Linked DNA regions of Cricetulus griseus. The protein of the gene in region 1 purifies or fractionates together with the protein of each later gene. This does not show direct contact. Links are inferred from orthologs where the notes say so. Each region holds a gene or a part of one and is shown on either strand. Other genes may lie near its edges.

Region 1 (4,984 bases):
GTATCTGGTGTGGTGTCCTTTTGAGACAGGGTCTCACTATGTAGTCTTGACTGTCCTGGAATATGTTATATAGACCAGGAGAGCTTACATTAAATTCACAGAGATCCACCTGCCTTTGTCTCCAGAGTGCTGGAGATTAAAAAGGCACAACACAAAGCATTTGAAAGTATAGTATCTTTAATGTAAACAAAGTTAACAATCTTTTGTTTGAGAGTCCCAGAAATGTCAGAGGAAAGAAATGAGGCATACCCAAGGTTATAGTAATAACTTAAGTCTGGGTCACTGCAATTTTTTTTTTTTTTTAAGTTTTCTATGTATACAGTGTTCTGTCTGCATCTATCCCTGTGGGCCAGAAGAGGGCACCAGATCTCATTATAGATGGTTGTGAGCCATCATGTGGTTGCTGGAAATTGAACTCAGGACTTCTGGAAGAGCAGCTAGTGCTCTTAACCACTGAGCTATCTCTCCAGCCCCAGGATCACTGCTATTTTAACATAAATATTTAGATAGGGAAGGAATATTAGCTCTATGTTCCACAACCTTCACAGCAAATGTTAATTGTTCTGAAATTAGTGCTTCTAAAATGGTGAGAGGCTCCCCCCTCCTCATGTTTTTGTAATCTCTGTTTTTCTATCCTCCCTGAGGATGATAGTATGTGCAGTTACAGTGGCCAGGGTAGTCGTGCGGTTGCTTTTCCACCTAAGTAATTTTGTTGAGTTAGCGATCTAAGTCGGCCTATCAGAGGGTTTTGAACAAGATTAGATAGCACTTTGTGAACGCTGTGTGACCTTGGGAAAGTCGCCCAACAACACTGAGATCAATTTGCCAAATAAATAAATAAAATAGCTACACTGCGATCAATTTGTCAAATAAATGACTAAAAGTGGTGTTTCTACTACTGGCTTGCCTGCCTTCCTCGCCGGCGCTCCAGGAAGCTTGGCATCACTGCAGAACCCTGTTTATGTGTGGAGAAACCCTGGGATCTCTCTCTCCATCTTAAACAAGGAGGTTAAGACTAGCAGCGGATTTCCATTCAGTCTGTCAGATGGTTACATCCCCAAATCTCCCCCACACTTTCATATGCACCTGCAGGGGCAGGGATGGTCAACGAGAGCTGAGGCAGGGGGCGCTCACCCAGTCAAAGTCACACGGGTTACCATCTTCGCGCTGCGTGGGGAGACCGTTGCAAATCGGCGGCAGTTTCCTCACGAGGAGGAAAGCAGCGGAGAGCAGGGCAGACAGAAGGCAATAAGGTCGAGCCAGCCATCGAGAAAGCCGCGGCACCGAGTACACCAGAGCAATCAGAGGCGCGAGGACAGCCATCTTCCTTGCCGGTTCTCTCGCAGGCTCCGTTCGGCCCCCAGCCCTTCCCTCCGCTGCCCCCCACCAGCGAGGCTTCTATTGGGCCAAATATCAGATGCAACGCCTCCGGACCCGGATGTAGATCTCTTATTGGGTGCTATGATAGATGAGAAAATGAGTTAGACAGTCTATTGGTCCATAGAGTTGTCGCTCTTCTACCTGAGTCATTTTATTGGCTGTAAGACTGCGAACTACTTCCCAAACTGTCTCTTAGAGCGACGGAAGTAACTACAGGAAGGTGGTAGGCGGGGCCTAGTGTATCCAATGGCCGGAAGCTCTTCGAGGACGAGGGTGGTACCCTGGGAAAGTACTGGCCAATGAAAGTCATTAACGCCAGATCCCGGGTAATGCAGGAGCCGAGAGTGCTATGGAGAATTTCACCGCGCTGTTTGGAGCTCAGGCTGACCCCCCACCACCCCCAAGCGCCCTAGGTTTCGGGCCTGGAAAGCCGCCCCCGCCACCTCCGCCTCCTCCGGGAGGTGGCCCAGGCACGGCCCCGCCCCCGACGGCGACCTCGGCCCCTGCGGGCGCAGACAAGTCGGCTGCTGGAAGCGGCCCCTTCTACCTTATGCGGGAATTGCCCGGTGAGTAGTGGGGTCAAAAGCAGCCAATCAGGTACTGATTAGGTGACGGGTGTGGCTTTCAGCCTGCTGTGCGAGGCGTGAAGCAACGGGCGACGCGTGGCCAGCGGGCAACTCAAGTGTCAGAAGCTCTTGGGCGATTCATAACCCTAAGAGAGAGCTTGATTTCATGGGATGGGTTTGGGGTGGGTGTGACTATCTGGGACTACTGGCGAAAAGTTCTGTGATCCGGTTCTCTGACCGCCGTTTGTGACTCTATAAAAACGTGAGCCATTGTTTGGAACTCGGGAGACCTGATTTAACAATTTTGGAGACGCTAAGACTTTAAAGTCTGTTAGGTGTATAGTAAGTAGCCATCCTTGTCAGGGACTCGGAGATTGACATGTTCAAAGAAAATATTAAAATTGAATTAATTCTTTCATTTATACAATTATTTGGAAATTGGGGGCGCATGGCTCAGTGGTAGGACTCTTACCTGCCATGCATGAGTTTTCACAGGTCTTCTCTGAGTAGATAGCATTCAAGAGTAAATAAAGTTATCGGTGGATAGAAAAGAGATACCTATAGATACGAGAGACTTGATCGATCAGGAGGCGGGGGGTGGGGGGGAAGCTTAGAATATCTAAGGGGTCGAAGACAGATTGGACTCCAGTAAAACAAACAAATCCAGTAGTGATGGGAGATAGGCAAAGACCTTTATAAGGCAATGTAGAGTGTTTAAATTTCAAATTGAAGCCATTTCAACATGGGTGCAAAATGATCTAATTTATTGATTTTCAAATATTCAGCAGCAACATGAGGAATGAAAGTAAGATAATCGGATGTTACCAGCCATTGTTCAGGAAAGAAATAATAGTTTGGACTAAATCTTAGCTGTAGAGAAGTGAATGGATAAAGGATACATGTTAGAGGCAGAGCCTACAGAAATAAATATAAAAAGAGAGAATTGGGGGTGTCTTCTACAGAGGGTATGATAGTCTGAGAGTAAGAAGTTGTGGAAAGAAAAAGTTTGAAGGCCTAAAAATCAAGAGGTGTTAGTCTTAGGGATTTGTGGTACTACACACCAGCACTTAGGAGGTGAAGGCAGGAAGATCTGGATTAAAGCTCAGCCTAGGTGACGAGATCCTGCTTCAAAAAAGGTCCTCAGTTCATTCCAGTAACTATTAGCAAAATAATTTCAATTTCATATCAGTGTGTAACAATATGTAATACTTATAGCCCTTTTAGATAAGTATTGTCTGTGTTTTATAATTGAGAAACTGAAGCATAAAGAAATTGACTGTACTTTAGTGATAGGTGTCTTCCAACAGTTTTCTTTATTTTAGTTGTTTTGATTTTGAGACAGGGTCTCACTGTGTAGCTCTGGCTTGCCTGGAATTCACCGTAGATCTGACGGATCTCAAACTCACAGAGATACACCTGTCTCTGCCTCCAAGTGTGTGCCACCATGCCCAGCTTTCTTTATCTTTTGCATTACCTGTTCTAATTGTACTTGTTTGTGTAAATCAGTTGACAAATAGTGATTTCTGTTCTAGGCAAATGCTGGATATGTGGGAATGGAGGGAGGGATGGTGTGAGAAGTGGAGATTAGTAAGCCTGGTTTTTAGGTAGCTTTTTTTTTTTTTTTTTGAGATTCAAAATACATGGTTTAAGGGCTATGCTTGTATTTTTTGTTGGTGTCAATCTTATTACTTTGTAGTCTTGCTTCAGATATCTTAGGGAAAATATTAAGAACTACTTGATGGTTTTCAGAATGTTGTTAGCCAAAATGACAGCAAGAATAAGCTGTCAGCCGGGCAGAGGTAGTGCATGCCTCTAATCCCAGTACTTGGGAGGCAGAGACGGACAGGTTGTGGGTTCGAGGCCAGCCTGGTCTACAGCATGAGCTCCAGGACAGCCAGGGCTGTTACACGAAGAGCCTTGTCTCGGAAAAAAAAACTAAAAACAAAGAAAAGAAAAGAAAAACAATTTGAATGGAAGAGTAGTATAGTGGTTGATTAGGCCCCAAAGCTAAGTTGGCATAAAAGTATGAGTAGAAAGACTGGGGATGTGGCTCAGTTGGTAGAGTACATGCTTAGTAAGCATGAAGTCCTCAGAAAGGGCCAGGAGAACTGGAGAGATGGCTCCAAAGTTATGAGGTTAAGGGCACTTGGTTCTTTCAGAGGACTCCAGCTTGGTACCCAGAACCTACATGAGAGCCTCACAATTACCCCTAACTCCAGCTCCAGGGAACCCAACACCCTCTACTGGGCTCCACAAGCAATCAAATAATATGTGGAATGCATTCACACATCACAACACATATACACACAAATGAGGTAAAATTAAATCTTTCAGGCTGAGTTCACACCTTCAGTCCCAGAACTCTGGAGGCAGAGACAGGTGATCTTTGAGTTCAAGGCCAACTTGGTCTATATAGGGAGCTTCAAGGCATCCAACGAGAGAGGAACAGACAGAGAGACTGTCTAAAAATTTTTTAAATAAATCATTTTTAAAAAGCATTAGGCTCAGGGGCTAGAGAATTGGCTTAGTGGTTAAGAGCCCTTGTTCTTGCAGAGGATGAGGGCACAATTCACAACACCCACTCGGAGGCTCACCACTTCTGTAGGCATCATGCATGCATATAGCAAACAGACATACACTCAGGAAAAGCACTCATACATACAAAGTAAAGTAAATCTAAAAAAAAAAAGAAATAATTTTTTAAAAAGTATTAATTAGACTTGGGAGGCAGGGACAGGCGGATCTCTGTGTGTTCAAGGCCAGCCTGGTCTATAGAGTGAGTTCCAGGACATCCTAGGCTACACAGAGAAACCCCGTCTTGAAAACAAACAAAAGTATTAGGCTCAAGTGCCATGATTTTTTTGTTGTTTGTCTTGAAAAACAATCATGGCACTTGAGCCTAATACTTTTGTTTGTTTGTTTGTTTGTTTTCAAGACAGGGTTTCTCTGTGTAGCCCTGGCTGTCCTGGAACTTGTTTCCAGCCTCCCAAGTGCTAAAATTATAATTAAAAGCATGCGTCACCACCGAGTGGATTGAG
Region 2 (5,013 bases), on another chromosome or scaffold:
GGTTCCAGGCAAGTCACCTGGCTAGGTAGGTGGCAAGCACTGGTTTGATGGCCCGAACCTTGACTTTTTTTTTTTTTTAACAAGACCGAATAAAAGTGTGGTTTGGGGAAACAATTTTAATCTTCATTGTGTGAGAGATTACAAGCAAAATAAAAAGCCGTATGTTAAACCAAAATTTCCTTTATACAAAAGGATACTAAAATACAATCACATTTCTAAAATGAAACCATAGGTACACAGTTGTAGTTGTGAGTAAGCTAGGTCAAAAGCTATAAAGAGAAATAGCAAAGGGGCAAATGAAGACACTCCTGAATTCCCACTCTTCATCGGGCATCAAAAACCACCACTGTTGGACTGAGTTAAGGATTTTAAACAGTACATAAAAACTATGTAAAACTGAGGCTTCCAAGTCACCACCTCTGCACCAAGCTTGCTGTTTCATATAAAACGAACAAAAGACTGAACTTCATTATGGCCACTGGAGATAATCTAAAAAAATAAAATACTCAGCTTCCATTTTCATTAGTTCACTCTCTATTACACAGAAGATAACAATATAGGTAAATTTTAAAAGATAATACGAAAAAGATATTTTAAAACACTGAAACACTGATGATTTTGAGAGTCTGTGTCAGTTACACTGAAACAATTTCAGTATTTGGACTAATTTGTAGGCCTATTTTCCACTAGGTTATTAATTTCTCCTCCCATACTTTAGATTACCCATAAGCTAACAATCAAGAGTGACTACTTCTAACAAAGAATTCCTGAAAAAACTAAAAACATTTACATAAACCCAAATTGATTAATTTTTTAATTACTTAGAGCCCATAATGAATGGCACGAAAACACTAATCATGTTTACTTAAAAAAAAAAGAGCTGGTGTACAAAAGGACTTTGGGAGCCCATCCCACGTGGAGGGATGCTCTCTCAGCCTGGACACATGGGGGAGGGTCTAGGCCCTATCCCAAACGATATGACAGACTTTGGGGATACCTCATGGAGGGCCTTACCCTCCCTGGGGAGCAGAGGGGGGGATGATGTGGTGAGTTGGTGAAGGGCTAGAGAGAGGAGGGAGCAGGGATTGACAATCGAAGTAGGCTTGTTTCTAATTTGAACTAAAAAAAAAAAAGTAAAATAAAAGCTAAAATCACTTACAGGGTTTTTTAAACACACACACACACACACACACACACTTGGGTCCTTTGTACAGGTGGAGGTCGGAAAAAGGGATCAGACCCCCGAAACTGGAGTTACAGAGGATCATGAGTAATTATGTTGGTGCTAGAAACAGAACACAGGTCCTCTGGAAGAACAGCCGATGCCCTTACCTGCCTGCTGACGAGTCTCTCTAGCCCCTATTTGTTTTTTTTGACACTGAGTCTCACTTAGTAGTTCTAGCTGGCCTTGAACTCACAAAGCTCTGCCTGCCTCTTTTCTCCAAGTTTGGTGAAAAATAATTCATATTAAAATAATATACATTTACGTCCTTCAGAGCCCCCCACATTCTCAGTTAATAAACTCTTCATTAATAAAGTCACATTCAATCTGCTTAGAAAAATAAACAACCCAAAAGTTGCTACTTTTGTCAGAACTTGGTCTTTATCAACCGAGTATTAGTTATTCCTCTTTACGTTTAGAAAGCCCAGTCAGAAGGATACATCTTTTTGTCCTTTTCTTGTACATTATTCTGTATCCACATTCTCTGCATCTGATTGGATCCCTGGACTTTATTTCATTTTCCGTGTGACACTCTAGGGAATAAAACACGTTCAGTCAATGCCTGAAAGAGAAACACTACAGGGAACCAAATATAACCACAGACTTCGCCAGAGCAAGTCAAAGCCCCGAAACTAAATACACCAAGGAGGAAAGAAAAGAGCTGTCGGCAGCGTACCTTTTCCTGATGAAAAGACAAATCTTAACGAGGGACTTTTACATTAATGATGCTAAAGTGTTTCACTTGAACTCGCAGAGATCCCCCTGCCTCTGCCTCCTGAGTGCTCCGCTTTATAACTTTGAAGATCAGTACTCATATATGGAAAGTTGAGGTAAAATGTTCCTACTTAAGCAGGGCATTGGTGGCACATACCTTTAATCCCAGCACTAGGGAGGCAGAGGCAGGGGGATCTCTGTGAGTTGGAGACCAGCCTGGTGTACAGAGTGAGTTCCAGGATAGGCTCCAAAGCCACAGAAAAACCCTGTTTCAAAAAAACAAAACAAAAGCAAAAAAAAAAAAAAGCCAAACAAACCAAAAAACCAAAACAACAACAAAAAACGTTCCTACTTAAATGTTAATCTTACCTCCGCAAATATATATCATCGGCTGCTGCTTTGGGGGTTGGACGTCTTTCTGCGCGTCCATTGCTAGTGCCTGAAATCAGAGCCAAAGCTTGAATAACAAGATCATCACACAAAACCAACCAGGCTCCCTTTTCCCCAGCAGCTACGCAAGGTCCTGATTCCGGGGTGAAGAGAAAATCTCAGGTGTAGAATGTTTGCCCAGAACACAGCGGCTCGAGGATCAAACCCCAGTATTACAGAATGAGGGGGAAAAAAATCATAATTCCTTATTTGAAACCCCCCCTTCCCCACCAACTGTGGGCTGGGTCTGAAGGAGGAAACACATTCTCAACAACACAGAATCCATCTCGAAGGTCTACGACACTCTTGAAGGTGCCAGAGGGCATCACTCTTTACACTCGGGGAAACCGAGGCTAAGCACAGCTCTCTGTGTGCCCAGCGTCTCCCGACACTAAGAAGCAAAGGGGGGGGGGGCTGGAGAGATGGCTCAGAGGTTAAGAGCACCGGTTGCTCCTCCTGAGTTCAATTCCCAGCACACACATAGCAGCTCACAACTGTGTGCAACCCCAGTTCCAGGGCACCCAGCTGACATCCATGCAAAATACCCAATGCACAAAAAATAAAAATAAACTTAGAAACCCTGTCTCGAAAAACCAAACAACAAATAAACTAAAAAAAAAAAAAACCCACAAAAATCCGCTAACTCCGCCGGGGATCTTGTCATAAATCATTTTTTAAATTTATTTTATTTTATGTGCGTTGGTGTGAGGGTGTCAGGTCCCCTGGAACTGGAGTTGCAGACAGCTGTGAGCTGCCATGTGGGTGCTGGGAATTGAACCCGGGACCTCTGGAGGAGCAATCGGCGCTCTTAACCTCTGAGCCGCCCCTCCAGCCCAGTCACCGACCATTTATTTACGTTTATTTGGCTCTTTGAGAGGCTCCCCACTTGGTAGCCCAGGCTGGCCCGGAACTCACTTCATCGCCCAAGCCAACCCCAAAGCCCGGGCGTCCGTCTGCTGAAGGCGGCAGTCCCCTGCCTCCGTTTCCCGAGCGCCCAGGCGGCGTGGAGCCAGCTCTCCCGGGCACCCGGGAACTTTCTAAAACCTTCTAAAGCCAGTTTTTTTGCCCTCAGACCGATCTCTCACCTCCGCGGCTCCAAGCAGAGTCTCGGTACGCACACAAACGTTCCCCCGCGTCCTCAGTGACGGACTCACTACCGGCGCGGACCGCGCGCTTCCGGCGCTGCCTAATGACGCGCAGGAGCCCCGCCCCCGCCCCGTCCCCTCCGCCGCCGAGAGCCCGGGCTGGGCACAGGCGACGGCGGAAGCCGAAAGCAGCTCTCGCTCCGGCGGCGGTCGCGGGTTCGAGACTCGGGCTCGTCGCCATTTGCTCGTCGCCATTTGCTCGTCGCCGTTTGCACAGGGTTCTCTTTTGTTTGGCTGCCCTTCAGCGCGCGGCTCTCCCCCAGGCCCCGGAGATGTCAATTAAAAATACTTTTTTTCAGGACCGTTGGCTTAGCTCGGTGGCTCGCAGGGGTGAATCTTCAGGAAAACGGTCGCTTGAGCTGCTTCCTCCGCACACAGCCCAGCAGCCTGTTAAACGCTCGCCCTCAGCCACGCTACAAAGTCTCCCCAATCCTAGGGCGGTCAGGTGTGTCTGCCGGGCTAAGCCCCGGCTGTAGAGAAAGGGTGGTGTGGCTTCTCACTTGCTAGTGAAAGACTTAAAAATTAGCAAAGAAATATAGCCCAGATAAGGAAACTCTCCAAACTGAATGTAGGGCGGCCTAACTCGGAAACTAAGGCCACTATTAGGACTTAGGGCCTGGAATTTACCAGCCGCAAGCAATTACTCCCTTACAAGGCCATAATATAACTGGGTACCAAGAATTCCCAGATGGCCACCCTCCCCGAGGGGCTCATGAAAAAAACAGATTGCCCCACCGGCCAATGTGTCAATCATTAACAATTAAGTGTCCCTGTGAAACAAAGAGATAGGTACCATTTGCTCAAGCAAGCTAAGCATATCCTGAGGTCTGCAGGTTTTACAGCTGGTGGGTCAGGAGGCCATCTGATTCCCAGCCCTCTCCTCAAGACAAAGGGTCTCTTAGGCACCTGTGACTCTGGTCACACCCCTCCCTAAGCTTGTGGTTTTTGCCTTTAAAAAGGCCTGTGCCTGGGGGACGGGGCTGCTCTCTAGCCTGCATGCTGAGAGAGCCCCTTCGTACAAACGTCTACCTTTCATTAAAGCCTCTTGCTGTTTGCATCAAGTTTCCGACTCCTCATGATGATTGGGATGGCCGCAGTCCTGGGAAAGGATTCTGGAGGCCTGAGCTTCCAGGGGGCTTACATTAGACGTCTGAGATTTTAAGATTTCGTTGTTTCTTTGTTTTGTGTTTTTGGTTTTTTCGAGACAGGATTTCTCTGTAGCTTTGGAGTCTGTCCTGGCACTCACTCTGGAGACCAGGCTGGCCTCGAACTCACAGAGATCCGCCTGCCTCTGCCTCCTGAGTGCTGGGATTAAAGGTGTGCGCCACCACCACCCGGCTAAGATTTCGTTGTTACTTTGAGTTGTCTGTGTTAGTGCCAGCAGAGACCTGAAAAGGTCCTCGGAGCCCCTGGACTGGAGCTACAGACTATTAGAAGCCGCCCTACGTGGGTGCTGGGAACTGAACTTGGTCCTTTGCAAAAACAGCAAGTGGTCTTACATGC

The links. The genes of interacting proteins can lie anywhere in the genome.
Region 2: the proteins of Med19 (region 1) and Polr2k purify together in Homo sapiens (affinity purification with mass spectrometry; 3 studies listed by BioGRID and IntAct, with this or other methods). This does not show direct contact. The link is inferred for Cricetulus griseus from reciprocal best matches to the Homo sapiens genes MED19 and POLR2K.

Annotation. Positions count from the first base shown.
Region 1 is NC_048599.1:90,851,782-90,856,765, reverse strand, and holds the start of Med19 (mediator of RNA polymerase II transcription subunit 19), read left to right. Parts: upstream 1-1,641; 5' UTR 1,642-1,729; coding exon 1,730-1,946; intron 1,947-4,984. UniProt on the Homo sapiens protein: Component of the Mediator complex, a coactivator involved in the regulated transcription of nearly all RNA polymerase II-dependent genes.
Region 2 is NC_048603.1:15,287,609-15,292,621, forward strand, and holds the start of Polr2k (DNA-directed RNA polymerases I, II, and III subunit RPABC4), read right to left. Parts: upstream 3,548-5,013; 5' UTR 3,451-3,547; intron 2,376-3,450; 5' UTR 2,367-2,375; coding exon 2,306-2,366; intron 1,756-2,305; coding exon 1,663-1,755; intron 347-1,662; coding exon 324-346; 3' UTR 1-323. UniProt on the Homo sapiens protein: DNA-dependent RNA polymerase catalyzes the transcription of DNA into RNA using the four ribonucleoside triphosphates as substrates.